Linked DNA regions of Caenorhabditis elegans. The protein of the gene in region 1 purifies or fractionates together with the protein of each later gene. This does not show direct contact. Each region holds a gene or a part of one and is shown in the gene's direction. Other genes may lie near its edges. The genes, in order: pas-1, lonp-1, rpn-9 and rpn-13.

The links.
Region 2: the proteins of pas-1 (region 1) and lonp-1 fractionate together in Caenorhabditis elegans (co-fractionation; one large-scale study listed by BioGRID). This does not show direct contact.
Region 3: the proteins of pas-1 (region 1) and rpn-9 fractionate together in Caenorhabditis elegans (co-fractionation; one large-scale study listed by BioGRID). This does not show direct contact.
Region 4: the proteins of pas-1 (region 1) and rpn-13 fractionate together in Caenorhabditis elegans (co-fractionation; one large-scale study listed by BioGRID). This does not show direct contact.

The regions. Positions count from the first base shown.
Region 1 is NC_003283.11:14,419,187-14,425,549, reverse strand, and holds pas-1 (Proteasome subunit alpha type-6), read left to right. Parts: upstream 1-2,931; coding exon 2,932-3,003; intron 3,004-3,052; coding exon 3,053-3,389; intron 3,390-3,447; coding exon 3,448-3,779; 3' UTR 3,780-3,984; downstream 3,985-6,363. Other genes in the region: rrsr-1 (Ribosome biogenesis regulatory protein homolog), read left to right, coding at 546-646, 701-1,438, 1,492-1,654; rpoa-12 (DNA-directed RNA polymerase subunit), read left to right, coding at 2,252-2,378, 2,427-2,544, 2,606-2,720; dhs-22 (DeHydrogenases, Short chain), read left to right, coding at 4,123-4,211, 4,260-4,386, 4,510-5,099, 5,155-5,350; set-31 (SET domain-containing protein), read right to left, coding at 5,526-5,728, 5,775-5,946, 5,993-6,136, 6,183-6,300, 6,347-6,363. UniProt on the Caenorhabditis elegans protein: The proteasome is a multicatalytic proteinase complex which is characterized by its ability to cleave peptides with Arg, Phe, Tyr, Leu, and Glu adjacent to the leaving group at neutral or slightly basic pH.
Region 2 is NC_003279.8:10,674,407-10,685,216, reverse strand, and holds lonp-1 (Lon protease homolog, mitochondrial), read left to right. Parts: upstream 1-2,842; 5' UTR 2,843-2,844; coding exon 2,845-3,066; intron 3,067-3,118; coding exon 3,119-3,220; intron 3,221-3,269; coding exon 3,270-3,361; intron 3,362-3,691; coding exon 3,692-4,141; intron 4,142-4,801; coding exon 4,802-4,964; intron 4,965-5,017; coding exon 5,018-5,331; intron 5,332-5,941; coding exon 5,942-6,194; intron 6,195-6,249; coding exon 6,250-6,518; intron 6,519-6,569; coding exon 6,570-6,828; intron 6,829-7,220; coding exon 7,221-7,460; intron 7,461-7,506; coding exon 7,507-7,749; intron 7,750-7,798; coding exon 7,799-7,963; intron 7,964-8,010; coding exon 8,011-8,154; 3' UTR 8,155-8,295; downstream 8,296-10,810. Other genes in the region: sdha-2 (Succinate dehydrogenase [ubiquinone] flavoprotein subunit, mitochondrial), read left to right, coding at 1-124, 170-844, 889-1,156, 1,200-1,389, 1,441-1,839; spcs-1 (Signal peptidase complex subunit 1), read left to right, coding at 2,177-2,272, 2,329-2,484, 2,530-2,595; ttc-1 (TPR_REGION domain-containing protein), read left to right, coding at 8,414-8,539, 8,880-9,008, 9,520-9,621, 9,673-9,939; C34B2.3 (Protein kinase domain-containing protein), read right to left, coding at 10,393-10,473, 10,521-10,607, 10,657-10,761. UniProt on the Caenorhabditis elegans protein: ATP-dependent serine protease that mediates the selective degradation of misfolded, unassembled or oxidatively damaged polypeptides as well as certain short-lived regulatory proteins in the mitochondrial matrix.
Region 3 is NC_003280.10:11,234,021-11,240,775, reverse strand, and holds rpn-9 (26S proteasome non-ATPase regulatory subunit 13), read left to right. Parts: upstream 1-1,856; 5' UTR 1,857-1,857; coding exon 1,858-1,952; intron 1,953-2,001; coding exon 2,002-2,581; intron 2,582-2,630; coding exon 2,631-3,017; intron 3,018-3,067; coding exon 3,068-3,169; 3' UTR 3,170-3,329; downstream 3,330-6,755. Other genes in the region: T06D8.9 (Store-operated calcium entry-associated regulatory factor), read right to left, coding at 1-208, 263-651, 704-933, 983-1,058; FUN14 domain-containing protein fndc-1, read left to right, coding at 3,457-3,627, 3,680-3,816, 3,883-3,991; cchl-1 (putative holocytochrome-c-type synthase), read left to right, coding at 4,402-4,428, 4,482-4,667, 4,713-4,861, 4,914-5,039, 5,085-5,439; cox-15 (EOG090X04TT), read left to right, coding at 5,829-6,046, 6,089-6,211, 6,565-6,755.
Region 4 is NC_003281.10:6,337,700-6,344,595, reverse strand, and holds rpn-13 (Proteasomal ubiquitin receptor ADRM1 homolog), read left to right. Parts: upstream 1-2,667; 5' UTR 2,668-2,672; coding exon 2,673-3,551; intron 3,552-3,597; coding exon 3,598-3,763; intron 3,764-3,808; coding exon 3,809-3,904; intron 3,905-4,135; coding exon 4,136-4,215; 3' UTR 4,216-4,483; downstream 4,484-6,896. Other genes in the region: C56G2.9 (DUF4604 domain-containing protein), read left to right, coding at 1,309-1,347, 1,425-1,515, 1,564-1,595, 1,648-1,840, 1,890-2,065; Very-long-chain 3-oxooacyl-coA reductase let-767, read left to right, coding at 4,641-4,686, 4,764-4,919, 5,094-5,443, 5,488-5,616, 5,666-5,998. UniProt on the Caenorhabditis elegans protein: May function as a proteasomal ubiquitin receptor. May promote the deubiquitinating activity associated with the 26S proteasome.

The DNA.
Region 1 (6,363 bases):
GATTAATCGAGGTTCTTGAAATCATTTAATCAGGAAAATACCCACATTACTCACAGAGATCCGCTTTCAGACGTTATGTTCTCTCTGATGGTCTGATTCTACTAATTTTAAATGTAATTTATTTTTTAATTAAAAGCTTGTAGTGGTTTGTTTTACTTTACATAATGTGCTCACATTTTCTTCGTATTTTGTGAGAGATGACGAAAACTACAATAAAAGAAAAATGCGTGCGGTGGCGTTGCAAAAACCACGCGCACCACTTGCAATAGAAGCCACGCCCTTATTTCCTTTGTTTTATTTTTCGTTTTCAGCTCTTTCAGTTCTCTTTTCAAATGATTTACCTGTTAAAATTAGTCAGAAAAATTAGATTTCGGTTAAAGTTTTGATTTTCTTTATAACAGTTATACGAAAATTGGTGCCGATTGCTGTTTAAGCTTCAGTTCTGAAAAGCTGTTTCTATAATACATTCGCACTGTCTTTCCCGTTCAGTTGCAGCGTTTTTCTACTTTCAGTAGTTTCAGTTAATACTTTAATGTTACAGAGAAATGGCTGACAAATCGACGGAGGTTGAAAAGGCCATTGACCCAATCATTGACTTGGGTAACCTGCTGTTTATTGATCGAGAGCCAATCCAAGGAGACGCAAGGTATATTATAGAATTTCGTTATTAATTAAACCAGCAAATTTCATAATTTTTCAGTGAAGGACTCGAGGAACGTGCTAGGAAGAACACACAACTCCTTTTCAACAACATCTGGCAGCTGGAGCAAAAAAGAGTAGAAGAGGCTATTATTGTTACTCTCCCTCCCGCCACTTACCGTCTTCCTCGTGAGAAACGATTGCCAGAGAAAAAAGAGCCGACGAAATGGGAGAAATATGCTGCTGAAAAGGGAATTGAGAAGAGAAAGAAGGATAAGAAGGTGTTCGATGAAGCGACAAAGGAATGGAAACCGACCTATGGATACAGACGTGGAAATGATGATACCAAGGATTGGCTGATCGAAATTCCTGACAACGCAGAAGATCCGAACAAGGATTTCTTTGCTGAGAGACGCGAAAAGAAGAAGGAGAGAGTTGCAAAGAACGATATGCAGAGAATGAAGAATCTTGCTCGTCAGATGAAGACAACAGTCAAGAGCGGTCCATCGACAGAAAAGATGATCGGAGTAGGAGTCGATGCCAAGGAAAAATCAAAGCAACAAGTTCGTTTCGCAGTGGATCGTGCAAAGCTTGCCACAGCTTCCGCTGGAAAGTTCCAGGAAGGATTGAAGGGAGAGAAGGCCAACGTGAAAACTGGCAAGAAGAGAAAGTTCGAAGCCAACGAAGCTCCAGTTTCTGGCGAGAAAGAACGTGCTCTCCAGATTCTTCAACGAATGAAGTCAAAGAAAGCAAAGATTGTTGAAGAAAAGGCTGCTGCAGTTGCTGGACCTTTGAGAGAGTGAGTAGTGAGAAAATTAGGCCTTTATCGTTATTCAATTCAATTAATTTCAGGAAGAAGGAAAAATCGGAGAGGAAAGGTGCTAAAGATCAAACAAGACAGAAGAGTCAGATTCACAGACAACAGTGGTTCAAAAACAAGGTCGACGGCAAGAAGAAGGGTACTGGTGGTGCTGGAAAGAAGGGAGCCAACAAGGCCAAAGCAAGAAAGGGATAATCTATGTTCTTGTTTTTTATTCAAATTTGTTGATTTTGATTCGTTTATTTTTTTTGTTACTTTCTTTTTTATTCATCAAATTTTAACATTCAATAAATAAATGTTCTGTTAAGTAGAAAATGTTACTTTTCTTCATGAAATGATGTTTTAGTTCTCGATTGTGAATTTACCTGGGATAGGTTATTTTATTAAATTTGTTCAGAGTTTTATATAATCCCAATTATTTTTCTCTGGCATGTTTTTTTTTTCTCTGAATGTAAGAAAGCCAACATTGATTCGCGATTTTCAAATCTATGAAATTAATAGGCGGAGTTTTCTTTGCCAGATCCAGCAACTCGGCCATCTTTCAAACCAAGATAAGTGATTTTAGATCATTTAACAATTTGCCTGTCAAGACTTAATATTTTCTCAACTAGTAAAGTGCTGTTCCCATTTACTCAGCAATCTGTTTCTTCGAAAGTCACAAATCGGTAGTGTCTCAATTTCCAAGCGTGCTCCATCGCACTCCCTTTAAATTTTGTCATCTTTTCGGCGTTCTCATCATTTTTCAACCTTCAACAATATATTTTAGTCGAAACTTCATTAATTCAGCTTAAAATGGCTTTGAACTTCCTCTCATACGACGATGACTTTTGTGGATATTGCGGCGCCATCTTGGAACTACCGGCACAGGCTCCAGCGACGGTCTCCTGCAAAGTATGCTCAACTCGATGGGCTGTGAAAGGTTTCCTGCTTTTAAGATGAATATATTCTAATTTTAAAATGTTTTCAGAAAGAGTAGATCAAGTGGTTAGCCGTGTCGAAAAGATCTACGAACGAACGGTTGCTGATACAGATGGAATTGAAAATGACGAGTCAGCGGATGCTGTTGTTGATCATATTTGCACAAAGTAAGAATATTTCCGGGGATTTTGAAACTGAGAAAGACTGAAACTAATTTCCAACTTTAAGGTGCGGTCACTCAAAGGCATCATATTCTACTATGCAAACGAGATCTGCAGATGAAGGACAAACAGTATTCTATACATGCCTGAAATGCAAGAAGAAGGATATCGAATATTCTTGATAACCTTTCGAGTCTTTATTTTTCAAATCAGATTTTTATTTCTGTTGTTATATATTGTTGAATTTTTGTTTTTGTTTCCTGAATATTCCATTAAGTTTCTTTTTATTCGTTTTTTTTTTCATTTTATTGGTACACTGGTCAATAACCAGATTTCCTATCTTTATCGGTTTTCAAATTAATGGTTGATTTCCACTTTAAAATTTATGTTTAGATGTCTCGTGGAAGCAGCGCCGGATTCGATCGTCATATTACCATCTTCTCTCCAGAAGGACGTGTTTATCAGGTTATAAAATAATAGTTGAATGTTTATAACTTTCCATGCTTGCTTCCAGGTCGAGTATGCCTTCAAAGCAATCAACTCTACCAATCTGACGGCTGTCGCAGTCAAGGGAGCTGATGCAGCTGTCATTGCCGTTCAAAAGCGTGTTCCAGACAGTCTCATCGTCGCTGATACCGTCACTTCGGTTTATCAAATCTCTCAGTCTGTTGGATGCTGCGCCATTGGAATGATCCCGGATGCTAAATTCCAAATCAAGCGTGCACAGGGAGAAGCTGCTAGCTGGAAGTACAAGAACGGCTACGATATGCCATGCGAGCTTCTCGCCAAAAAGATGGCTGATCTCAACCAGTATTACACACAAAATGCGGAGATGCGTAGTTTGGGATGTGGTTAGTAGAAAAATTTCCGAATTCTCTAACTTCAATTATTACAATTACTCAATTTCAGCTCTTTTGTTCATTTCCTACGATGACGAGAAAGGACCAGAAGTTTATCGTGTTGACCCCGCTGGATACTACCGTGGTATGAAAGGAGTATCTGTTGGAGTGAAACAACTTCCAGCGACCTCATTCTTGGAAAAGAAAATTAAGAAGAAGTCCGAATTGACATCCACAGAAGCTATTGAACTCGCCATTGAGGCTCTTCAGACTTCATTGGGAATCGACGTTCGTTCCAAGGATCTTGAGGTTGTCGTTGTCACCAAGGATAACTCCAAATTCACCAAGCTAACCAGCGATCAGGTCGAACATCATCTCAATCAAATCGCCAACCGAGATTAAATATTCATCGACCTTTGTATTTAAATATTTCCCGTTTCAATTGATCCGGTACCCAAATTGAATTAAATACCTGGTTTCCCTTTTCTAAATTTATTTATTGTTTTCTTTACTCCCTGTTTCTCGGTCTTTTTTATCATTGCCCTCCGCCCCTTTCTCTTTTGAAACTATTTATTTATCACTAAAAATCATGATAAAATGATTTTTGAAACACTTCATATTATTCATGTTGACTTTGATGGTGGTTTCGCAATCCCTGTTATTTATTTTTTAGTACGAATTCATTGAAGAAAACTGCAAGTTAAAAAAATTATACATTCAAAGTTTTAACAGACCATCTATTAAAATGGATGGTGCAGATGCTGAAGAACATGGAGGATTCCTCTTTTTTGTGCTCGCTTCATCCGTAGTTTTTATTGTGCTCTTTTTCACAAGGTAATCGATATTTCACGATAGCTAAAACTATAATCTAAAATATTTCAGACGTTACTTTAAAGGAGGTCAATTCAATGAAAGAGTCTCTGCAAAGGGATTAGTAGCCGTTGTGACCGGTTCTAATTGTGGAATTGGATTCGAGACAGTTCGGGAACTTAATTTGAGGAAAGCTGATGTGAGTTACAGAACTAATTGCATTGTTATAATTAATTGCTAATTACTAATTACATAAATTGCATTTGTTTCTAAACAATGCTATCCATATTTAAGTTATCAAGAATAATCTAATTTTTTCCAGGTCTATATGCTGTGCAGAAGCGAAGAGAAAGCCAATGAAGCGAAACGAATGCTCGTGAGACAAGGATGCGATGCCACTCGTCTTCACTTCATTGAATGTGATTTGACAGATTTTGAAAGTGTACGACGAGCTGCCAAGGAAACTCTCGAATCGACTGACACCATTGATATCCTTATCAATAATGCTGGAATCATGTTTCAAAGCAAACACGAGCAAACCAAGGATGGTCATGAGAAAACTTGGCAGAGCAACCATTTGGGACCATTTCTGCTCACCGAACTTTTTCTGCCAGCTGTTAAGAAGTCTTCCTACGCTCGAATCATCAATGTTTCATCTCGTATTCATTTGAAATCCGAGAAAATTAATTTGGCTACTGTAGATGACAAGAAATCGTTTGGAATGATGAAATCGTACAGACAGAGCAAGTTGGCAAATGTTATGCACGCAAGAGCCTTGACTAAGGAATTGAGAAAGGACGGAGCCGAACACGTGACTGTTAACTCCCTGCACCCAGGAGTTGTTAATACCGAGCTCGCGAGAAATACCATTTTGAATACACCAGGAATCAAGCAGATTACAGCTGTTTTCCGGTAAGCCAAGCCAAATTTCCACACTTAACCTTAAAATAAATAAAATTAATTTCAGTTGGTTCCTCATGAAAACCAGCCGCGACGGAGCTCAAACTTCAATCTTCCTTGCATTGGGCAAAAAGATCGGTGGAATCAGTGGAAAATACTTTGCCGATTGCAAGTTGACCCAAGAAAACCCACTAGCCTTGGATGATCAGGCCTGTCAGGATTTGTACAATTATAGCTTGGAATGTACTGGCCTCGCCAAGTAATGTGCCAGCGCAGCTACAATAATTTCTCTATTAAGAATTCATATCAATCCCATTGTAAACTTTAACAAAGGCTTTATATTCAAGTATTTAAAATTAAAATTTCATTGAATGAATAAATATGTAATACATAACAAAACGAAAAACAAAACTAGTTGAAAACATTTTACAGCGAGTTTCACTCGAGGAAATTACCATTTTTTATCTTCCAGATTTTTGGTGACTCTACCAGAGACATGCCATTGAACGTCGACGTCAGTTTCTCCTTCTCGGACTTCTTCTTCGCTGACTGGTCGATATATACAATCTCTCGGCACTTGTGCTCACATTTGCACTGCACGAAGTCGATATCCTTCTCGAGGAGATGGAAGAGTTTGCCGTCTGAATGAGGACATTTATCTAGGAAAACTAATTATCAAGAACGTACCTGGAGCAACAACCTTTGAGAAGTATTCCTCAACCTCTTTTTTGAAAGCCTTGAAATAATCAAGGGTGATCACATATCCATTGCCTTCGTCGAGGGGAAAACGTGAGTAAATCACGAGATCAGGAATGTCGTTTCCTGATTCAACCAAACGAACATTGCATGTTGGATTACACTGGATATCATCAAGTTATTAGAATAGTTAATTGAATAAAACTCACGCTGTGGGGAATGAATTTTGAGAAGTCATAGAACTCTCGACGATCGAGGCACAAATCTGTTCCTGGAATTTCGACGAAAGAACTGAATGCAACCTCTTTTCCTTCAGTTCGCAAAGATTCTCGAGCAACTTCGGCTGGTCGAATCTGAGATGAAATATTATACAATTACAATTACAGTTTTTAAAATTACCACTCCAGTCATGACCATCAGAGGAACATTGGGGAGACTGTACATAGCTGATAATATGTACCAGCCCGATCCGGGTTCCTGTCTCATTTCAAGTGGTATGGAGAATCTCGAGTTCACTCTAAATAAAAATAATTAAAATCTGAAACACTTTTCAAAACACATACGCCTTGTTGATTCTTCG
Region 2 (10,810 bases), on another chromosome or scaffold:
CCAGATAACTGGCGCTGGCACTTCTACGACACTGTAAAAGGGTCCGATTGGCTTGGAGATCAAGACGCGATTCACTATATGACTCGAGAAGCCGAAAGAGCTATTATTGAACTTGAAAATTACGGTCAATAAGATTCTCTAACATTAAAAAACAACAATTTTCTTGCAGGAATGCCTTTCTCGCGTACAACAGACGGAAAAATTTATCAACGGGCTTTTGGAGGTCAATCTAATGATTTCGGTCGTGGAGGACAGGCTCACCGTACTTGCTGTGTGGCCGATAGAACTGGACACTCACTTCTTCATACCCTCTACGGTGCATCTCTTCAATACGACTGTAATTATTTTGTCGAGTATTTCGCTTTGGATTTGATTATGGATAAGGGAAAATGCATTGGCGTCGTTGCACTGGACATTGAAACTGGACAGATTCATCGTTTCCGCGCAAAGAACACTGTCCTCGCCACCGGAGGCTATGGAAGAGCTTACTTCTCGTGTACATCTGCTCACACTTGTACTGGTGATGGAACCGCTCTTACCGCTCGTGCAGGTATTCGTAATTCTGATATGGAGTTTGTTCAATTCCATCCAACTGGAATCTACGGAGTTGGATGTTTGATCACCGAAGGATCACGAGGAGAGGGTGGATATTTGGTCAATTCGCAAGGAGAACGATTTATGGAAAGATATGCACCGAATGCCAAGGATTTAGCGTCAAGAGATGTTGTTTCAAGAGCCATGACTATGGAAATTAATGAAGGAAGAGGAGTCGGACCAAACAAAGATCATATTTACCTTCAATTGCATCATCTTCCAGCTGAACAGCTTCAACAACGATTGCCAGGTACGTGATATTAGTGTTTTCAATTGTTAATAATTTTCTTTCAGGAATCTCGGAAACCGCTCAAATCTTTGCTGGTGTGGATGTAACCAAAGAGCCGATTCCAGTCATTCCAACTGTTCACTACAACATGGGAGGAGTTCCTACGAATTACAAGGGACAAGTTCTCGATTTCACACCTGAAGGAGGAGATAAAGTGATTCCAGGACTCTATGCCGCTGGTGAATGTGCAGCACATTCAGTTCATGGAGCAAATCGTCTCGGAGCAAATTCCCTTCTAGATTTGGTTATCTTTGGAAGATCTTGCGCTCTCACGTTAGTTTCATTTATCTGAACAGGTTTAAACTAAAGATTTCAGTATCCTTAATGAGAACAAACCAGGAGATTCAATCCCGGAGCTTCCGGTAAATTGTGAAGAGAAATCGTGTGACAATTTGAACGGACTTTTGCACTCAAAAGGAGATATTTCATCTATCGAATTAAGACAAAAGATGCAAATGACAATGCAGAAACATGCTGCTGTTTTCAGACGGGGCGATCTTTTGAAGGTAAGTAAATACAGATTTATTCTATTTTCAAAAAATATTGGATATTTTCAGGAAGGAGTCGATAAAATGTCCTCCATCTACAAAGAGCAACAAAATTTGAAGGCGTGTGCCGACTCTGGAAAAGTATGGAATTCGGAGCTTGTCGAAACTCTCGAGCTTCAGAATTTGCTTATCAACGCCAATCAAACCATCGTCGCCGCCGAAAATCGCACTGAATCTCGTGGAGCCCACGCTCGTGATGATTTCCAAGAAAGAATTGACGAATATGACTACAGCAATCCACTTGAGGGACAGCAGAAAAAACCGTTTGATCAGCACTGGCGCAAGCATTCCATCATCGGTATCGATACGAAAACTGGAGCTGTTGATTTGACATACCGCCCAGTTATCGACAAAACTCTCGATAAATCTGAAACCGACTGGGTTCCACCAAAGGTCCGATCGTATTAATTCGTTGTTTTGTTCTTCTTTGTTCACATAATTGTGTTCGAGCTGTATGTTTTTTTCTTTTGTGTGAAATTTATTTGTTTCCTGATTAGAATAAAGTTTATTGAATTTAATAATATATCAATTTAAGCTTATTTAAGATTTATTTCTGGTTTTCAATCCACAAATATTTGCAAATGTTCTTCAAAATATGAAATGTGCAAGTGCGCTCCATGGAAAATCTCTATTTTACGTCATTGTATGAAGGAGTGTTGGAACAAAATTATTCCGAATTCGTTTTGCTTTAATCTTTTTGTATTTTTATAACTGAATTTGATTTTTAATTATTACATAATTAACCATGGACGGAATGATTGCAATGCTCCCTGCTCCACTGCAGAAACTATCGTCGCATATTGATTTTCAAGGACAGAAAGTCGCCGAGAGAACTTACCAGGTAACAAACCACAATTGATTGACTGAAATTACATAAAATAAAGCAATAAAATTTAGGTAATCCTCACTATTGCTGGAATTATTGGCTTCCTCGTTGGATTCTGGACTCAACAGCTTTCATATGCCATGTTCACAGTGCTGGGAGCATCTGCGTTCACAGCTCTCATCATTCTTCCACCATGGCCATTCCTCTTCAGAAAGAACCCGATTGTGGTGAGAAAAAGTTACAGAAATCGTATAAAATGTTTTAATTTTCAGTGGCACACACCTGCGGAACCACAAGAATCTGGAGACAAGAAAAAGGAGACAAAGAAGACGAAATAAATCGGCAATGATGCAAAAACTAAAGAAAAACGTTTTACTCGGGATCTGGTCAAATATTTATTTTAAATTAAATTATTTATGAGCTCTTCTTCATTTTTCTGTGTGATATAAGAATCATCTTCTGAACCATAATAAATTCATTTTCAATCTACAACGATTTTAATATTTTATTGACGTTTTAATGCGACACATTTTACTTTTTTATTCTGAAGTCTTGAATCCTCCTATCCTACTCCCCGTTCAACAGAAATGTACCGCGCTGGAGCGGTTTTACTCCGCGGGGCAACTCGCACGCGGCTTCTTGCCGCTGCTTCAGCACATCAAAGCTTTGCCACATTTTCTCAAAGAAATCAATCGATTTTAATGATGAAATCTATGGAATTAGCAGGAAATTCAGGAGAAAGGAGGTTTTATTCCACTCATGACGATCCAATCGCTGTGGATGACTCATTGGAACTGTACAAAGATTTGGTAAGTTTTTTAGAATTTCAGTCATTAAAAGACGATTTTAATTGATTTTCAGGGAGGAATGTCACCGATTCAAGTGCCAGCCGATATGCCAAATGTCCCAATGTTAGCTATCAATCGATATCCACTATTTCCAGGATTTATCAAGAAAGTTGATGTGAGATTAGATAACGTATTTGGCGGAAAACTGAAAATTAAAATTTCAGATCGTGAAAGATGACAATTTAAAAGCACTGATCAGGCGACAGCTTTCACTGAAACAGCCGTATGCTGGAGTTTTTGTGAAGAGAGACGATGAGTATGTAGTTTTTGAATGGATCTCTTCTTGACTTAAAAATGGAACAATCGCCGAAAAACTAGTCATGTGTTGATATACGGAGCTCGTGTACTCCCCGAGGAAATGCTTTTACAGTTTTTGCCTGATATTTTTGATTTGGAACCATTTTTGTTATTGGAATCATCAAATAACAGAAAAAAATCAATCTTCTATATACCGACTATAACTTCTAAAAAATTTATACACTTTTTCAAAATTGTTTTGTATTTTTTTCAATTTTGCAACAAAAAATGGATTAAAATTGCTGAATTATTTTTGAATTCCCGCGCAAATTAGTATATTTTTTTCCAGAAACAAAGAAGAAACGATCACATCTCTATCAGAAGTCTACCCAACTGGTTCTTTCGTTCAAATTATCGAAGTCCGTGATCAGGGAAGTGTTCTTGAGCTGGTACTCAGTGCTCATCGAAGAATTCGTGCTCTTGAACCAATTGACGAAATTACACCGAAAAATGAGACTCCATTGAATGGAAGACGTGCTCGTGGAAAGCGTGCAGCATCAGCAACATCACCACTCACTCCACCACCATCACCACCTCCACTTGCACCTTCAGTGGCTTCAGTGGCTCCAGAAATTTCAGCAACAGAAGAGAAAGAAGAGAAGACAACACCACCATCAGCAACTGGAGAAAAACAGAAAAAAGGAATTATTATGGTTCGAACCGAGAATGTTGTTGCAGAGCCAGTGCCCAAGAATAATGAAACGAAGGCTACGATGATGGCCATTGTGCAGACGATTCGGTAATATCAAGTTGCGATTATTTAGCCATTTGTACCTCAATATTACGATACCCGGTCTCGACACGACAAACTTATTGTAATCTAAAAAGGATATATCCCTTTGAAGAGTACTGTAACTTCAAATATTCGTTGCTCGGAAATTTTCATCGATTATCATAAATTCTCGTTGAAAATTATATACATAAGATTAAAAAAAAATCGCAAAGTTCGAAAATAAAATCTGTGTCATTACATTTATAAAAAACTTGTGTGTATTGTGTGAAAAGCTATGAGAAATCGACGAAAATTCCGAAAAAAACAATAGTTTGAAATTAAAGTAATCTTTAAAGGCGCACACTTTTTTGAATAACAGGAGAAATGCGACCGGGTACAATAAAATGTATATTAATCATTTTGAATCGAAAATACGGAAATAATCTGCAAAATGTTATGTATTTTACAATGGCCAAAAGTAAAATCGAAAAAAAAAACGAAAAAGATTGTAGTAAAATTATTGAAAAAAGGATAAAACTATAAATTCAACAAAAACTGTGTATATTTCGAGAAAAAAATATAGAAAATTTGCATTTTTTCCCCTGCAAATTGAAAAAAACCTTGATTCCGAAAGTTATTTTTTGATTTTATGAGTTTCCAATTTCCTAAATTCAAATATTATTTCAGAGATGTAGTACAATTCAATCAACTCTTCGGTCAACAAATCAATCTTCTACTTCATCCATCTCAAAATGTAATCGATAATCCAGTTTATCTATGTGATCTTGTTGCAACTCTTGTACAATCTGCAGAAACAAAAGATCTTCAGGAAATGATGGATGAAATTGATGTAAATTTAAATTTAAATTTTTTTAAATGAAAATAATTATATTATTTTTTTAGGTTTCAAAGCGACTCAAAATTGCTCTTCTTCTGATTCAAAAGGAGAAAGCAGTTGCCAAATTGAAGTATGATATCAATAAAGATGTTGAGAAGAAGGTTCAGGATCATCATAGGAAATACTTGCTCAATGAGCAATTGAAAGTAATCAAAAAGGAGTTGGGAATTGAAAAGGATGAGAAGACGACTATTATTGAGAAAATTGATGAAAGAATCAAAACATTGGCAGTTCCAGAATATGCATTGAAAGTTATTAACGAAGAAAAGACAAAGTTGCAGTTTTTGGATCCGCATTCCAGTGAATTTAGTGTCACGAGGTAGATATTGAAAATTATATTAGTTTTATAGAAAAATATATATATGCATTTAAAAGGCTAAAAATGCTCGGAAAAGTAAACTTTTTTCCAATTTTCCAATCGAATTTTTTTTCGAATTCTTTTTCCAAAAATCAAAATTTCTCCAAAAGCTTCCGGATTGTTTATGAAGTGTTCAGAAACCAGCTCCTGGATGTCGTGAAAAATTGAAATGTTTTTTTTTATCGAAAAGTTGACAATTCGACATTTCAATTTAAAAAAATTTCAATTTTCCGGAATATAAAAAAAAATAATAGTTCAGAAATTTTAAACTTTTTTATTAAAACCCCAAAAAATTGTTTAAAATTAAACGAAAACTCCAACTTTCTAAATTTCTATTATTCACTTTTGGTTAATCTATTTATTTTAATTTTCTTCAAAATGAGAACTACAGGATCGACGACCAGGAACTCCGCCCACTCCTTTTGATTGGTTCGCCGATTGGTCTTACAGTTCTCGTTTTGAAAGAAATTCAAAACTGAAAAATATCATTTTTAAGTGCATTTTTTCCTGAATGTCAGACTATTTTAAATGTTTTAAAGCAAAAAAAAAATTGAGTTCCGTTTTTTTTCAGAAACTACCTGGAATGGTTGACATCAGTACCCTGGGGACTTACATCACCCGAGAATCGTCGTCTTTCAGTTGCAAAGAAAGCTCTTGATGAAGGACATTATGGAATGAAAGATGTTAAAGAACGAATTATGGAGTTTATTGCAGTCAATTTACTTCGAAAATCAATTGGTGGAAAGATTCTATGCTTCCATGGACCACCTGGAGTTGGAAAAACTTCTATTGCGAAATCAATTGCGACTGCCTTGAATCGAGAGGTTCAGTTTTTTTTCCTAAACTTTCTCTTGTTAAAATTAAATCTAACATTTGCAGTATTTCCGTTTCTCAGTTGGTGGAATGACTGATGTGGCAGAAATCAAGGGACATCGTCGTACATATGTCGGTGCAATGCCTGGAAAAATGATTCAATGCATGAAGAAAGTGAAAACTGAGAATCCTCTTGTTCTTATCGATGAAGTCGACAAAATCGGCGGAGCTGGATTCCATGGAGATCCCGCATCGGCACTTTTGGAACTTCTTGATCCAGAACAAAATGCGAATTTTAATGATCATTTCTTGGATGTTCCAGTTGATTTGTCTAGGTTTGAAGATGCTTCTCCTCTTGGTTCTATAATTTTATTTCTAATTTTCAGAGTTTTGTTCATTTGCACGGCAAACGAGATTTCAAAAATCCCGGGACCACTTCGTGATCGAATGGAAATGATTGATGTTAGCGGTTATTTAGCCGAGGAAAAAGTTGAAATTGCTCATCAACATCTCATTCCTCAACTCAGAAAAGACACATCTCTCGCCACAGAACAACTGAAAATTGAAGATTCTGCGTTGGAAGAGCTCATTAAGCATTACTGTCGTGAATCTGGAGTCAGAAATTTACAGCAACATATTGAAAGAGTATGTTTTGGTAAAAACAGGACGATCCGCGAGACCCGAAGAACTCGGGGGATGTCCAATTGGGGGGATTACCAACTCGGGGGATTGGCCCCGCCCACATAACCGTGGCTTGCAATACGCCCATTTCTGCAACTGCCGCACGGTTTTAAAACTGTATTTTTCTCAATAGAGCGAGAATTAACAAGAAAAAATAATTTTTAAACCGTGCGGCAGTTGCAGAAATGGGCGTATTGCAAGCCACGGTTCTGTGGGCGGGGCCAATCCCCCGAGTTGGTAATCCCCCAATTGGACATCCCCCGAGTTCTTCGGGTCTCAGATCCGCGCCTCGAGTTGATTGTTCTGTTTCGACAATTATATTTAGATTGCTTATAGAAATTACCTTTTTTTTCCAGATTTTCCGTAAAGCAGCTCTTCAAATTGCTGAACAACAAAACGAGGATGAGGAGCCAGCCGAAAAAGCAACAACTGCTATCACTGAAAACTCAGAAGCCGAACCAATCACCTCTACATCATCTGCAGATTGTTTAAAATCTTCAGCCGAACAAATTGTAGTTTGCACAGAAAACTTGCAAAAGTTCGTTGGAAGACCCAAATTCACATCAGATCGAATGTATGAAGTAACACCGCCTGGAGTAAGCGAAAAAACTGTTTTAAAAACTTAATTCACGTTCCGTTCAGGTGATAATGGGTCTCGCATGGACAGCAATGGGTGGATCTGCACTTTATATTGAAACTGTATTGAAACGACCTGTTGATTTGACAAATGATAAGGATGGAAGTATTGAAACAACTGGAAATTTAGGAGATGTAATGAAAGAAAGTGTTCGAACAGCGTTGACTGTTGCAAAAGGAATTCTTGCAAGAGAGCAACCCGATAACAAATTCTTCGATAAAGCACATATTCATATTCATGTACCCGAAGTGAGCTTAATCTTGAAATAATTTCAACTAACCAATTCCATTTTTCTAGGGAGCAACACCAAAAGACGGACCATCTGCAGGAGTAACTCTTGTCTCAAGTCTTCTTTCACTCGCTTTAGACCGACCTGTTGTGCAGGACATGGCGATGACTGGTGAAATTTCATTAACCGGAAAAGTGCTGCCAGTTGGTGGAATTCGGGAAAAAGTGATCGCGGTGGGTCCTCTGTTCTTTTTTCGTTCAAAAATTTCATTTTTTTTCAGGCTCGCCGTGTCGGAGCAAAACGAGTCTTCCTTCCAAATGAGAATCGTCGAGACTTTGATGATTTACCAGAATTCATGAAATCAGAGTTGGATATTCGATTCGTTTCGCATTATGATGAGCTCTACGAGCATCTCTTCCAATAATACGTGTCCCTTTCTTTCACCCCCAGTTAATACCTTTCAGATAGATTTTGTTGATTCACCTAATCCATTTTTTCTTGTTTTGTTATTTTAAAAACGTTTTGAAAAGAAAAAAGTTCAGGCTATAAACATTTTCCTACTTTTATTTTTGTTTTTTTTTTAATTTTAATAATCTCAAGTTGTTTGATCTTTTCAAATATTTTTCATTTAAATTCTAAATAATATTCTCTTTATTTAAAAACCATTATTTTCAGCTTTAGAAATGGCAATTATCGAAGAAATTTTCGAGGATGAAGAGGATCAGATAACAAAAGTGGATTCATTGAAAAAAGAAGGAAATAATTTCTTTGCGAATGGAGAATTCGAAAAGGCGAATGAAAAATATCAGGTATTGGAATGTTTTGCAAACGTGCGGCGCGGTTTGAAGCTTGTCGATTTACGCAGGATTTTGTACTACACGTGGACAAGTATTAATTCAATTTTCATATAATTTTATAGTAAAGAAAACAATAATTTGAAAAACAAAAATTTTGATTTTTAAAAATATCGAAAAATTACAAACAAGAATTTTAGCTGAAAACTACACAATCATCTCAAAAAAAATCCCCACTTGTCCGAGTGTAGTACAAAATTCTTCGTAAATCTACATGCATACAACGCGCCGCAGACTTGCAAAATTAACGGCTTGATCGGTCTATTTCGACAGTATACAATTGAAATTTTTCCAGGAAGCCATTGCCTCGTGCCCTCCAACATCCACAGAAGTACAATCGATTCTTCTTTCAAATTCAGCAGCTGCACTTATCAAGTTAAGAAAATGGGAATCTGCTGTGGAAGCTGCGTCGAAATCAATTGAGGTACTGAAGAGAGCATGAAATATTACACAGACGCGAAATTTTCCCAATTTCGACCACAAAATACGGCCTTGTCACTAAAATTTGGCGTTAAAATGAATAAAAGTTTGCAGCTTTAAGTATTTCTGAAATTTCCAACAAAAATTTCGATTTTCATTTTTCCTGAAAATCAAAAAGAAAAGGGTTTTGAAAATTGACAAAAAAATCCTTTTCTTTATCAAATTTTGTTTACTTTTACGAAAAAAACATCAGGAAACACATAATTATCTTCTACAAGAGGAAAAATTGGCAAAATTTTAAGATATTTTTCAAAAAATTAAAAAAAAATCGAAATGTCGGAAAACTAATTTCTCATAAATCGAAAACCCGGCTCCTATAGTTGGAAACTACAGTAATCCTCAAAAGGCGTCCTTTTGCATTTAACAAACGGTTTTCGTGTTGAGACCCTTAGATAGCAAAATTTTGCGACTTACTATTAGCTAGTTAGCTTGAAACAAATAAAATCAATTTTCAGATTGGAGCAACCAACGAGAAAGCACTGGAACGACGGGCGTTTGCATACTCGAATATGTCAGAAAAGTATGAGAATTCTATTGAAGATTATAAACAGTTACAGGTATCGATTTTGGTAGATTTCTTTTTGAAATTAGAAGTAAACTTTTTCCAGGAATCTCTTCCAAAACGCCGCGTCGAACTTGATCGGAAAATCGCTGAAATCAATGAGAAAATTAATAATCGAAATGAGGCGATGAAAGCCGATGTGATGGAAAAACTGAAGGGTTTCGGAAATTTCTGTCTATCGCCGTTTGGGCTCTCGACAGACAGTTTTGAGATGGTCCCGAATGGAAATGGAGGATTTTCGGTTCAAATGAAAGGTGCTACGAATAAACAAGAAGGTGCAAGTCAGGAAAAGAAAGAAGAGGAAAATGCATAATTGGCCGACATTCTTTGAATTTTCTGTACATTTTCTATCTGCATTCCGGTTAATAGTCTTCTTGCTTTCAATTTCGTGATTTTAAAGATTAAAATGAACATTTCTATTTGTATTCGTGAAATTTTAATCGCTCACACTAAAATGTTCTCTGGTCTCGAAAAGATCGAAACTTTAAGGCTACCGTATCAGGGATGGAGGGGATCTACAAAAGGGTCATTCCTAAATATATGATAACTCATCTTTTGAAATGAAATTATATCGTTTACTACAATGTAACTACATATAAAATGCAGTTTCGTTCTGTTCATATGTAGTTTGATCTCTGATCTTTGAACTCTCTTTTCTCTAGTTCTGTAGATGTATTGTACTGGGAGTTTATGGAATAACGTTATAAGATATAAAAACACTTTGAATATTCAAAAAAGTCAATTTATTTCCATAGAAAGAGAGCTATTAGGTTGCCTGCTCCACACTTGGCTTCTGCGGATTCTTGAACTCGTTGATCTCAGCCTCCTCCCAATCGTACGGGAATTCCTGTAATTATGATAAATGATAACACTTTTATTGTGTGAAAGACATACATTTTTGCCACTGAAGAGAATCGCGTTGGTGAGAAGTCCGTAGATTTCTGTGTAGTTCGGAGTGTCGGTGAATGAAAGTTTGTCAACCTGAAAAAGAATGGATTGTTAGGGGAAAAGTTGCAAAGGAGTTGCCTACTATTTGCATAATGTCGACGAATTCTGGTGGAAGACCTCCGAGCATTTCACGCATTTGAAGACCATTTCGGCACAACTTTTGATAGTCATGCACTTCTTTTGGTTTCTGGAAAAGGATACATAGAGAAGGGCTTTGATATATGTCAAAAATGCAT
Region 3 (6,755 bases), on another chromosome or scaffold:
AGTAGAAGGTGATGACCAGGAATCGGAACTTGAGAAGCCTGTGTCTTGGAAGAATCCTCTGTTGTATCGTGGACGGGCGTAGGCATTGTTATTGTTGAGGAAGCTGGATGCCAGGTATCCTCCAATGGCTCCTAGACTTGCTCCAGTCCAAAACGATCCACCATTGTTGGCGCCACTGCCACTTGCTCCTCCGCTAGAACTTCCCTGACTGAAAAACTTAATTTTAATGAAAATAAGGTCATTTTTATTTAAAATTCCTTACCATCCACCTCCAGATTGCGAGTCACCACGGAACCCATATGGCGGTGGCTTGGAGTAGTCGTCATATGGTGGAGGAGCACTTGGATAACCACCTGGACCACCACCTCCTCCGCCGGATCCTGGGCCTCCAGGACCTCCTGATCCACCAGAAGTGTAGCCAGAGCTTTCTGGGTTCTGATTTCTGTTAGTCCACATCGCGTAGATAATGTAGGCGATGAAGGCGACGACGACGAACGTGGCGAACTGATCCCATCGATCCTGGGATGACTTTCGAGAAACTGATCTGTTACCGCTCGCAGAATTGTACTCGAGCTCATACTCCAACCCGCAAGATCCTCTCAGGATGTATGGATCCTCTGCGTAATCGTATCCTTCACATGAAACACTGATCTGAAACAAGAAACATTTTTTGAAGCGAGATGGAAATATTTAAAAAACTAACGGATCCGAATTCCATATCATGTGGCAAATCTGCATCACATCTCCACTGCACATCCGAACCATCAAAACCTTGATTTGCACACTGAACCACCTTTGGGGTGAAGGCACCTTTCGCGGATCCACCGACACACTTCAACTGGAAGGTTGGAGAAACTCGTCGTCCTGTCGTCATTTTTCCTTTGTGTAGAGTAATTGCTGATACATCGCGAAGAAGAACTTTGTCAGAGGCCGCTGAAATTCATTTGTATTATTGAAACAAATAATCAAAAGAAAAACTTACCAGAAGTTTCGAAGAATACCACTGTGAACACCAGAAGCATCCATAAAAGGAAACTCGTTGTAAATCGAGAGATCATCTGAAAAAAGAAACTAACAATTAGGAATTTTGAACGAGTAATCAATAGAAAGTAGTATGAACATTGAAATAGTACCGGAAGATAAGAACGAAGCACCAGAGATTAATTTTGAAGCGTTGCAGTGAAAGGGAGAAAAGATGATAATGAAGAAAACGAATGATAGGATATGTGACGTGTAACAACACGGAATTTTCAGAAATTTCGAAATACTTGGATCATTTTTTTGCAAATCAAGAAAAAAGATAATACGAGAATAAGCGAGGAAAATCTATTGGATGGACACAATTTTACAGCAACGCCTTTGTTTGACATAATTTTTATTCAGAGTTGCGATTTTTATCAGATTTCGCTATAAACCAAGAAGAAAACACACAAATCTGGAAGGAAAACCTGAAAAGCTGTGTTGCCAGCTGGCGGATAAATCGAGAAGGGTGTTCGCACTTTAAAAACAATATCTTCTGTTAAAAAACAATAAAATAAATTAAGAAAAATAAATTGTTGCAAGCGCGCCCTATCGCATATGTTGAAGAGACTGTAGACGCAGACATATGGCCGTGACCGAAAACATTGTCTTTCGCGTCTCGATATTTCCAAAGTGAAAGGCCATGCGCCTTTAATTGCTGACAAATAAAATTCAAAAAAAGTTTTTTGTTTTGATTTTTGTGAGAGCGCGCTCGCCAAAAATGTTCATTTTAGCTATTCGAAATCCATTTTTGTTTTGATTGCTCCTACTCCTTCATTTTCTTTCTTCTTCACTCATTTCTCGTCTCAATTTTTAATGTATCGAGAATTTCTCAGGATGACTGCTCAAGACTACCTCAACGGAAAGCTGGCGGCTGCCAATGGACCTCTGGCCGATGACTGGAAGAATCTCAAGGAGCTCTGGGAGAAAAAGTAAGAATCAATTGTTTTTGTAGACACAAACTATTTCACTAATTTTCAGGCTCTGGCATCAACTAACGGTTCTGACACGATCCCTTGTGAAGAAGCCACAATTTGTGGCTTCAACGGACATGCACGAATTCTACAGACTGTTCGTGGCGGAGTGGGAGCTGCGTGTCAACCCTCTTCAGCTCGTCGAGATTTGCATTTCGATCGCCCAAAATATCGCGACAAAGGACAAGCAAAAATCTATGGAATTCCTGTCAAAAATTGGAAACGTCATCAACAAGGACAAGATTGCCGTTGCTCGACTTCATACCGGAGAGATTGAAGCCAGACTGGAGAACAAGGACAAAAATGGACAGATTATTGATCTGAAGAGCATTCGAACTCAAATCGATTCGACACAACACGAAGTGGACTCACTTGTCGGAGTTACAGAAGTTCATGCCCCGTTCTACCGCGTCTCATCTTTATATCTTCGTGAAGTTGGAGACTTCGCTGGATATTATCGCGAAGCTCTTCGTTATCTTGGAGTTGAGGACGCCAATAATCTGACAACAGAACAGAAGCAAGTCCATGCGGTTCTTCTCGGTTTCGCTGCTCTTCTGGGAGAAAACGTGCACAACTTCGGAGAATTGGTTTGTTGAAACTCTCAATTTAAATTCCCCCAATAAACGGTTTTTTCAGCTTGCTCACCCCATCCTCAAATCGCTCGAAGGAACTCGTGAACGCTGGATCGTGGACGTGCTTCTTGCCTTCAATTCGGGAGATTTGACGCGCTTCTTCTCGCTCGAAGGAGATTGGGGAGGCTGGGACGATTTGAAGAAGCAAAAGGATTTCCTGACTGCCAAAATCCGTCTGATGGCTGTCATGGAACTTGCAGTCTCTCGTCCAACCAAAGCCAGAAGCGTTTCATTCAAAGAAATCGCCACGAAGTGCCAGATCCCATTCGACGAAGTTGAGTTCTTGGTGATGAAGGCGTTGAGCAAGGATCTCATTCGTGGAGATATCAATCAAGTTGAGCAAGTTGTCTACGTGACATGGGTGCAGCCAAGAGTTTTAGATAATCCTCAGGTATAAGAATTGATTATAAGTTTTTAAAATACTTATTTTCTTTTTTTCAGATAATGCAAATGGCGACTCGCATTTCCGCATGGAGGAACGATGTCAACTCCATGGAAGGAATCGTCAGCAAAGAGGCACGCGAGATTCTCACTCAAAATTAAATCATCTCATTTCTTTAATTTATTTTCTCCATGCTCCCCCATCCCAATCCCGGAATCCTCTATTTTTATAATTACACTGCTACGTGTATTCTACAATTTCAAGATCGTTCAGTCTTCTTTCTGTGTGTATTTATTTGAATTCATAAATTAATCGACTGTGAATATATTGAATTTTCTCGATGTCAGATGTGACTAACACCGTGTCAATAGTTCACTAGTACTTTTCAATACTTAACATTCGGGTTCTCTTCGTCTTCGAGTAATGTAGTACTGTGATTGTTCCAGCCATGGTTGATCTTTCAAAAAACGACGGAGGCAGTGGAAAAGCCGGAAAAGGTGTGAGTGATGCCATCGATACAGTCCTCTACTACGTTGTTGATCTGAAAAAGCAGCAGCCGATGGTCCAGCTGGGTGTTGGTGCTGGATTCGGGACAGTGACTGGATATTTTGTCACCAAGGTATTTAAAATTGGTGGTTCTAGAGAAATATTTAATTTTTAAATATTTTCAGGGAGGACGTCTTGTTGCTGCCACAGTGGGAATCTCTTTCCTGTTGGCTCAATTCGCTATTCACAAAGGATACATCACGCTGAACGAATCAAAAATCGAACGAGACATGAAAAATCTACACAAGTCCGTCATGAACAAGTAAGCTTGAATTTTACGAAAAAAAAATAGAATAAAACGAAAATCGTATATTATTCAATTTTTCAGAGTATCCGGCAAGAAAGTTATCAACATTTCCGATTCATTTGTCTCCGAATACCGGTGGATTCTTGGCGGATTCGCAGCTGGGATGCTGATTGGATTTAGCGTCGCCTAAATGTGGAAAATTGTGAAGCTTCAGTTGGTTTTTATCTACGATCTGTACTATTTATAATCGAGTTGCTCGATATGATGCATAAATAACTTTTTCTCACTCTCCATTGTCTAGTCATGCTGTCTATTTTTTTCTTCACATTGACTGATAAATTATACACCCTTACCTTCTCATCTTTTAATTCTTGCAAAACTTATGGTTTATTCCATAACTTTTCTCTTTTTGAACTCGATTTTGTGCTGAAAATTTTTTGAAACGTAAGTTTGCAACGACACTCCGTAGTTACGCGGCCCGTATGACGCGTAGTTTATTTTTAAGGCCTTTTTTCTCTAGTTTCATCATTTCCGTGCGCCACCTGCCTATTTAACCGTCATTTCCCCAACTATAGTTTAGTTTTCAGATAAAATTACATCATGGGCTCTTCACAATCGACGCCAAAGGTGAGTTTTCTATAATTTCAGTTAAAAGAAAACACGTATGAATTTATTTTCAGGTGCAAGATGCCAACGCCGATGCTGAGAGAATTCGTAAGGCTCAACACAGCATGGCTGCTGCTGGAGGAGGATCTCAATGCCCATTAACACCTGAACAGAGAGCTGCTGCATCTGGAGAGAATTGTGGAGCTGGTGGCGCTTGCCCGGTTGGTGCTGACAAGGCTTCTATCAATCCACTCAACAATGTGAGTTCAAAATAGAGTTTTCTGAAGCCAACTTTGAAAATTCAGGAGCTCGAACATCCAAATCAAAAGCCAGCCCCAGATCAGCCATTCGCACTTCCAACGAAACGAGAGAAGTCTACAATCCCGAAAGCTGGAACAGAAACTGAAACCTGGACCTATCCAAGTCCCCAAATGTTCTGGAACGCCATGCTGAAGTGAGTTTTTGATTGATAAATGTTTATTGTTGATTTTAAATTTGAATTTCAGAAAAGGATGGAGATGGCAAGATGACTCGCTGAGCAAAAGCGACATGGAAAACATTATCAGCATCCATAACGCTAACAACGAGGAGGCATGGAGAGAGGTGTTGAAATGGGAGAATCTTCTTCATCCGTAAGCTCATGAAAATTCCAACATCTGAATAATTTATAATTTCAGGGAATGCGCAGAGCCGAAACTGAAAAGCTTCAAAGGAGATGCCAAGAACCTATCGCCAAGAGCTCGTTTCCGCAACTTGTTCCTCGGATACGATCTCCCATTCGATCGTCACGATTGGATTGTTGATAGATGCGGAACCAAGCAAGTTCAGTACGTCATTGACTACTACGATGGTGGTGCTGTGGATCCAAGCTCAAAGCTTTTCACTATTCTTGATGTTCGACCGGCCGTGAATGATATTGGAAACATCTGGGATCGAATGGTTGTTGCTTATTGGAGATTCAAATTCGAGACACTTGGATTCACACCGAGCCTGCCGATTCCACCAACTGAAGGACACAATGTCAACCATTAATAAGTATCGCATTATCATCAAAATTATTTCCAATAATTTACCCACCGCTCCATAAGCCTAATAACAGTTTCGCAATTAGCATATTTCGTAGATAGATTAGTGTTCTTTTTTTCCCCCTCGTTATCATTGTTTGCTGTTAATTGTCTTTTTTCTCCGCATGGAGCCCCGTTTGCTCATGATCTTTCAGTGTCTTCCGTCAACTACCCGTTACTTTACTGTGTTCCACCGAAATACCGTTTTTCCTTCTTTTCTTATCGATTCTCCCAATGAAAAATGGTCTGGTTATTCGGAAAGTTTGAAATTTATAGAAAAGCGGAAGAATAATCACCCTAGAGATCTTTAGATATCACAACAACAGACAGTTGTCAGGTTCCAAAAATTTAGAAGCCATGTGGCTGCTAGCCAGCAAACAGCTGACCAAGTTCTCCCAACTTCCAAGAGTTTCTCTGTTGAGCCAAGGAATCCAGAATGTGAGGCAAGGATTCCGAAGAAACTTTGGAATATCGGTGAAAGATGTCGACGACAAATCCAGAAAACGCATCGGATGGTGGCTTATGGGATGTGCTGGAATGTGCTACGGTGCTGTGGCGCTTGGAGGAGTCACCAGGTGCTTATTAATGTATTTTTTCAACTAAATATAAAATTTCAGATTAACCGAATCAGGACTGAGCATGGTGAACTGGGATCTGTTCAGAACGATGAAACCGCCATTCGGACAGAAGCAATGGGAAGAGGAATTTGAGAAATATAAAGCTTATCCAGAATATAAATAGTAAGATAAAAAAGACACCAAATTTTGCGCCAAAACTACGGTACCAGGTCTCACCGCGACAATTTTCGTTAAATGAGAAACGGCGTGCGTCTTTGAAGAGTACTGTAATTTCAAAATTACGGTGCTGTGAAATTTTCGTTGATTTTTCATAAATAGTTTTTTGATTAAATCATTTGCAAACTATGAAAAATCAATAAAAATTCCGTCGCAACGAAAGTTTCAAATTACAGTTCTCTTTAAAGGTGCACACCTTTTCTCATGAAACAAAAATTGTCGTGTCGAGACCGGATACCGTATTTTGTGGCAGAAAATCGTCTGGAATTCAAATTGAAAATAAAAACGTTAATTTTCAGCAAATCCTCAAGCGAAGAGATGACACTAAACGAGTTCAAATTCATTTGGTCAATGGAATATGGCCATCGAATGTGGGGACGCGCCATCGGTATCGTTTTCCTGATCCCGTGCGCCTATTTCTGGGCTCGTGGCCGATTCGCACCGGATATGAAGCGACGAATGGCACTGGCCACCACACTTTTGCTGGCTC
Region 4 (6,896 bases), on another chromosome or scaffold:
AAACTATTTAAACTGATACGATTTCTAAAATTAAGATTATTTTAGAGAATTCTCGGAATAATATCTCTCGCGAAAAGAACTTCGAGTTGTTTTAAAAATTAAAGTTATGAATTTAAATATTCTGATTAAATTCCTAAAGTTTGAATTTAAAAAATAAAACATGAAGTAAGAAAAGGAACATGGAAATAATCGGATTTTTATTTAGAAGGATTTTTTCATTTACCTGTGTCGGTTTAGGCGGAGTACGGTATTATATTTTAAGATTCAGTTATTATATTGCACCAGAATAAGAAGTATTGCACACTCTAATTGGACATATAACAATGAAAACCTGAAAAAATTTATCTACTTTTTCCTCAATCTCCCACGTCTCTACATTACCTTAACCCCTACCAAGAAGTGCGATTTTCAGACTGCTGCTTCTCCTCATTTTTTCTGTTTTTATGTATATCCTTTGCCAGATTTTCTTTCCTATTTCTCACAATAAGTCAGTTACCATGGAAATCGTCGGTGAAGGAGCTCCAATAAAAATCCGAGAATTTGATTATGGCTCCGTTGACTCCCACGCCGGCAAACAAGCGCTTATCCGAAGAAGCTGAACCAATCACTCACACGGCTACTTCTTGACGACGACGAGGACTGATTAGCTTTTCAGTTTGAGCTACTGAAATTTTTTCGGGTTATCCCATTCTGCTTTAAAATTTTCTTAATTCAAGTTTGAGAACGGGCTTATTCTTGTGGGTCTTCCCACGATCAATCCAGGAAGAGAATGACAAGAGTCTTCAAAGCCACATTCCATGACCCTAGAAGGACTTAAAAATATAAATATTGAAAAGAACCCAATAGTAATTTTAAACGAGACAGGCTTCTTTCGTATATTTGCATCCTCGTAAAGTCTTTTTTGTTGGACAATTTCTTATTTAAAAAAATCACCAAAATTTTCTGAATGTTTTTCAGACTGAGTAGGACATTATTTTTTAAACTTCTATCATAAATCTCGTGTAGTTTCATGAAAAACTCCCACCCATTTTCCCACTGTCATGAGTCAACGGGAAAGCAAAATTCGAGTACAAATTAGTGTTCTCCATTTAATTTGTGGCGTTCAACACATAACTCGTTCGCCCCTTCATTTTTTCTTCTATTCTTGGTAGTCGCGTATCACTTCTTATTCTGATCAAATAAATTTTTTACAAAAAAATTAGAGCTGAGCATTCAGATTTAATTATTTTTCTCAATATCGTGAGAAAAGGTTTATTCAATTTTGCTTCAGCCACTTGCTACAAACTACACCATCTAACGGCTAACACCATGTTCAGCGAGCATAAGAAGAAGCAGGAAGAAGCAAAGGTTTGTTCTTATCTGTATTCAAAAACGAACCGTTACCCGACAAGGTTACGAATTTCAATCAGAAAAAAATGTTCCAGAGAACCGAGAAGAATGGAGAATTGATCTTCGATGACCTGGATGCAAAAACTCGTGATCTGAAACTATCGGATCAGGCAAAAAACGACAAAAGTGAGTTAAACCGAAGGAAAAGTGTTCATAAAATCATCAATCTATCAGAGTACATGTCGGAGATGGAGACCAAGAACCCGGTAAGTCAATTTTTAATTTGTTGAAAAAATAGTTGATTATCTGAAATTTTAGAAAAGAAAATCTATCAAGAAAAGCGACCAAAAACCGTCAACGATGTCGCTGAATGTAGGAAAGGGTGGTGTGGAGAAAGAGAAGGAAACGATTTCCTCGCAGCGGAGCAATAGTTTGGAATCTCCAGGACTAGGAAGTCCCCAAAATGTTGGTCTCGGGATCTTTGAGGCAGCAACTATGATGCGCAACATCGGTAGATCTTTAAAAAAAAGTCACGTAGACATCTAAAATTACTTTTTAAGTTGACATCACAACCGACTCGACCACTATGAAGACGGGTAAAACGAAAACATTGAAATCAAAGGAAAGCAAGACCTCACTTGGTTCGGCAAGTGGGCCATTCTCTCAGATGAAGGAGGCTCAGGAGATGAAGAAAAAGAGCAAAAACAGCTTTGAACTGGATGATATTGACAACTAAACTAATATGTTTTAATACTCATCGTGTATACCCAGTGAATTTGTTTTAAAAATACTAATACTAATCGGTAATTGGCATTCTCAAATTTTGCAGAGACCGATTTTGTCAAAATAATGTATTGAATAAAGTGGTTTGATTTTTAAGATATTGGGTAAAAAAATAATGAGGCAAATTCGTCTTAAAACGAGCGGAGGACAAGTTAAATACAGAAAAATAGAACACAAAACGTGACAAAATATCGCATGTACGGTGTGCATTCGGAAACAGCGTTTTGTACGCAAGCACTGAACACCACGAGCAAATGCACCACGAGAAAAGTCATCCTTTTTTAGCCAAATTTGGAACAATATTGTTAACAATTGTTTCTTCAATTCGAGTTATCTTTTAAATATTAAAAAAGACATTATATTTTTACTAGTTATTTGAATTTAATTTTTTTTGACGGGAAATAATTTGTTTCTGTCCGACATGTTACTTTCCAAATCAATTATCAATACTTCAGTTTATTTGTGATATTCATTCCTCGTAATTTTGCAAGTTTGTTCTCTATTTTTTCATCTTGGTATTTTCAGCTTCCTTATCAAACATTCATTTATTTATTTCAGAGATGGCTGCTATGTTCAGTAATACTCGCTCGGTCGCTTCCTCTTCTGGCCATATTGTCGAATTCAAAGCTGGACGCTCTCGCCTTGAAGCTGGATCCGGAGATACTATGAGAAAAGTTGTTGCTGAACCCAAAAAGGGATTGGTATTCATTAAGCAAAGTAACGACATGCTCATCCACTTTTGCTGGAAGGATCGTGAAACTGGCGCAGTTGTTGATGACCTCATAATCTTCCCCGATGACGCTGAATTCAAAGCTGTTCCTGGATGCCCTGATGGCAAAGTGTATATGCTCAAGTTCAAATCTGGAGATATGAAGCTTTTTTGGATTCAAGATTCAACACCAGACGTTGACAAGGATCTTGTGAAGAAGGTCACTGACGCTCTGAACAAGCCGCCGACATCTCGTCCAGCTGCTTCCCGATCGGCTGGTTCTAACGCAAACACTGATCGTCAGTCTGCTGGAGGATCACTTATCTCTAGCTCAGACATGAATGCTCCCCTTGGAGGCATCGATCAAGGGCAATTGATGTCATTGATTCAATCTCTGCAAGGCGGAAACTCTGACACTCTTCCAATTTCTTCCGTGCCTCGAGGAGAGGACGCATCGTCAGAAGCAGACTGCGAGCCTTCGACGAATGCAGCTGAGGAAGGATCTTCAAATCCACTTTCCTTGAATAACCCGGCGATTCAACAAATCTTCAACAACTTGGGACGCTCACAAAAGAAAGAGGTGGCAGTCTCTCTGGCAACTGCTCTGTCGAATGAAACGGTTGCTGAAGTTGCTCGTAACCACGCTGAAGAGCTCGCACCGCATCTTCCAACTTCTGATGATCCAGCCCGGGAGCTTTCTGAGACAGTCAGAACTCCGCAATTCAGACAAGTTGGTTTTTAAAGCATATTATATTTTAACTGTTCTCTATTTTCAGGCTGCTGATACACTTGGACATGCACTTCAAACTGGTCAACTCGGGCCAGTAGTTGCACAGTTCGGAATGGATGAAGCCACAGTTGGCTCCGCGAATCAAGGTGATATTCGTGGTTTTGCTGCTAATCTCACAAAGGCTGAGGGAGGAGAAGATGCTGCCAAGACTCGTAAGTTTACTTGAAATTCTGAAACATAGTCTCACGTTCGTTCAGCACGGGTTGATAACCCGATCTGCCGGAGAGCTGTGATGCCGTCCGCTTATCTCGGCTTCTTTTCCCCCTCAATTGCGGCAACGGTGTCTCGGCTAGGTACGGCGCACTCTCAGTTGTTGAGTTTTTACTCATTTTTGAATATGTCACTAATTGTGATTGTCCTTTTGTTTCCTTTCGCACTATGACCATTGCGCCATTCCTTGTAAAATTTTGCTGCTCTTAACACTTAACACCTATCCATTTGCTATTTCAAAAACAATTTTTACAGTACCGTAAACCTCTGTACTTTTGATAAAAACATCAATAACCATTGTTAATTGTTTGCAGAAAACTCGGACGATGACGCCACTCGCGAACCAGAGCCAAAGCGCAACCGTCCAGACAACGAAGATATGGATGTCGATTAAACTCTCTGAATAAACAAATTCTTCATCACTTTTGTGCATATTCCCCCTTAAACTGTGTTCTCCGTGTTCCTCTTTTTCCGACTCGTCCCTTTAGTATTTCTTCATCATGCCAGAAATGGTGTGATAAGATAGTAGAGCGATGTTTATCGACCACTTCTCTTCGCTCTCTTTCATTTATTCGACCTTCAAGACGTCCCCATTTTTATTCCATTTCGAGAACTTATTTATTCATTGTAAAGTACTGCAAATAAACCCTTTTTACCATCAATTTGAAAGTTTCGGAAAGAACTCGTAATAGTAGCGATTAGTTTTATATTTTTCAAAGTTTATTGGAGTGCATGAGTTTCAAAAAAGTAAAAACGTGACCTCATGAAAATTTTTAGTTTTCATATGTTTTCGTCATAAATAAATAGTTACAAGAAATAATGGAGTCGTCTGACAATTTACATGATATAGATAATCTTGAAAACGGTAAATAAATAGTGTATAATTTATGCACCTTGCATCTTTTCTGCCTGTTATTTCCATTGAAATTCTGTAAATTCCAGGTAACATGGCTTGCCAGTGCTTCTTGGTTGGAGCCGGATACGTGGCTCTTGCAGCTGTGGCTTATCGTCTTTTGACGATTTTCTCGAATATTTTGGGCCCATACGTTCTTCTGTCGCCAATCGATTTGAAGAAAAGAGCTGGAGCTTCTTGGGCTGGTTCGTTTCTATATTTTTACTCTGGTGATGTCTTATCGTATAGCACTCAGAGAACTACTTTTGGTTCTCTGGAACTGTTATCATTTTCAATTGATAATAAAATTGCAATGAAAAAATTGTTGCGTAAATATAAAATAATTGTTTTGAATTTCAAACAAAAAATACATTTTTCAGTTGTCACCGGAGCCACTGACGGAATCGGAAAAGCATACGCCTTCGAATTGGCTCGTCGTGGATTCAATGTCCTGCTCGTTTCGCGTACCCAATCAAAACTCGATGAGACGAAGAAGGAGATTCTCGAGAAGTATTCCAGCATTGAGGTCCGCACTGCCGCCTTCGACTTCACCAACGCTGCTCCTTCTGCTTACAAAGATCTTCTCGCCACCTTGAACCAAGTAGAGATCGGAGTTCTTATTAACAACGTTGGAATGAGCTACGAATATCCAGATGTACTTCACAAAGTTGACGGTGGAATCGAGCGTCTTGCAAACATCACCACCATCAACACTCTTCCACCAACATTGGTGAGTTTTATTAGAATTGTACTATTGTGATCTTACTGAAAAAGTTCTTAACTCAGCTCTCCGCCGGAATCCTTCCACAAATGGTCGCACGAAAGGCTGGAGTCATTGTTAATGTTGGATCTTCAGCTGGAGCAAATCAAATGGCTCTCTGGGCTGTGTATTCAGCTACAAAGGTTTGAATTTCAAAATATCTTCCGTCTTTTAATTATAATTTTATTCCAGAAGTATGTCTCCTGGCTCACCGCTATCCTCCGAAAAGAATATGAACATCAAGGAATCACTGTCCAAACTATTGCTCCAATGATGGTCGCCACAAAGATGTCAAAAGTCAAGAGAACTTCATTCTTCACTCCAGACGGAGCCGTGTTCGCTAAATCAGCTCTGAACACTGTTGGAAATACCTCAGACACCACCGGATACATCACGCATCAACTTCAACTCGAGCTCATGGATCTCATTCCAACATTCATCCGCGACAAGATCCTCACAAATATGAGTGTCGGAACTCGTGCTGCTGCTCTCAGAAAGAAGGAAAGAGAAGCCAAATCTCAGTAATTTCTCGACGTTATTTTGTAGAATCTAAATCAGTCCAATCCATTCAATTATTGCTATTTATTTATGTTATATAAAGTTTTTGTTTTTACTAAAACTGTTCGAAAGAAGGAAAAAAACTTTCCCTAACATTACAGTAACCCAACAATGCTTCACGCAATGGTTTTTATTGTTTAAGAAAACACTGGAAAAACAGCAGAGAATAATGTTCTAAAATGGGTGTAAAATGAATAGAACCCCGAAGAGACAAAAAACAAAATATTAAACCCAGTAGGCTACAACTCGGAAATTTTTTGAATTTTTTTCGGAAATTTTTAGAATTTTTTTCGGAAATTTTTTGAAATTTTTCGGAAATTTTTAGAATTTTTTTCGGAAATTTTTTCGGAAATTTTTTGAATTTTTTCTGAAATTTTTTGAAACTTTTCATCAACAAGTAGGCCATGACCAAATTTTTAAATAGGTCAAATAAAAAAATAGGTCATGACCTAATTTTTAAATAGGTGAAATTAAAAATAGGTCATGACCTAATTTTTAAATAGGCCAAATTAAAAAATAGGTCATGACATACTTTTTAAGTAGGCCAAATTAAAAAATAGGTCATGACCTACTTTTTAAGTAGGTCAAATTAAAAATAGGTCATGACCTAATTTTTAAATAGGTCAAATTAAAAAATAGGTCATGACCTACTGTATAAGTAGGTCAAATTAAAAAATAGGTCATGACCTAATTTTTAAATAGGTCAAATTAAAAATAGGTCATGACCTAATTTTTAAATAGGTCAAATTAAAAATTAGGTCATGACCTAATTTTTAAATAGGTCAAATTAAAAATTAGGTCATGACCTAATTTTTAAATAGGTCAAATTAAAAAATAGGTCATGACCTACTTTTTAACGTGACTT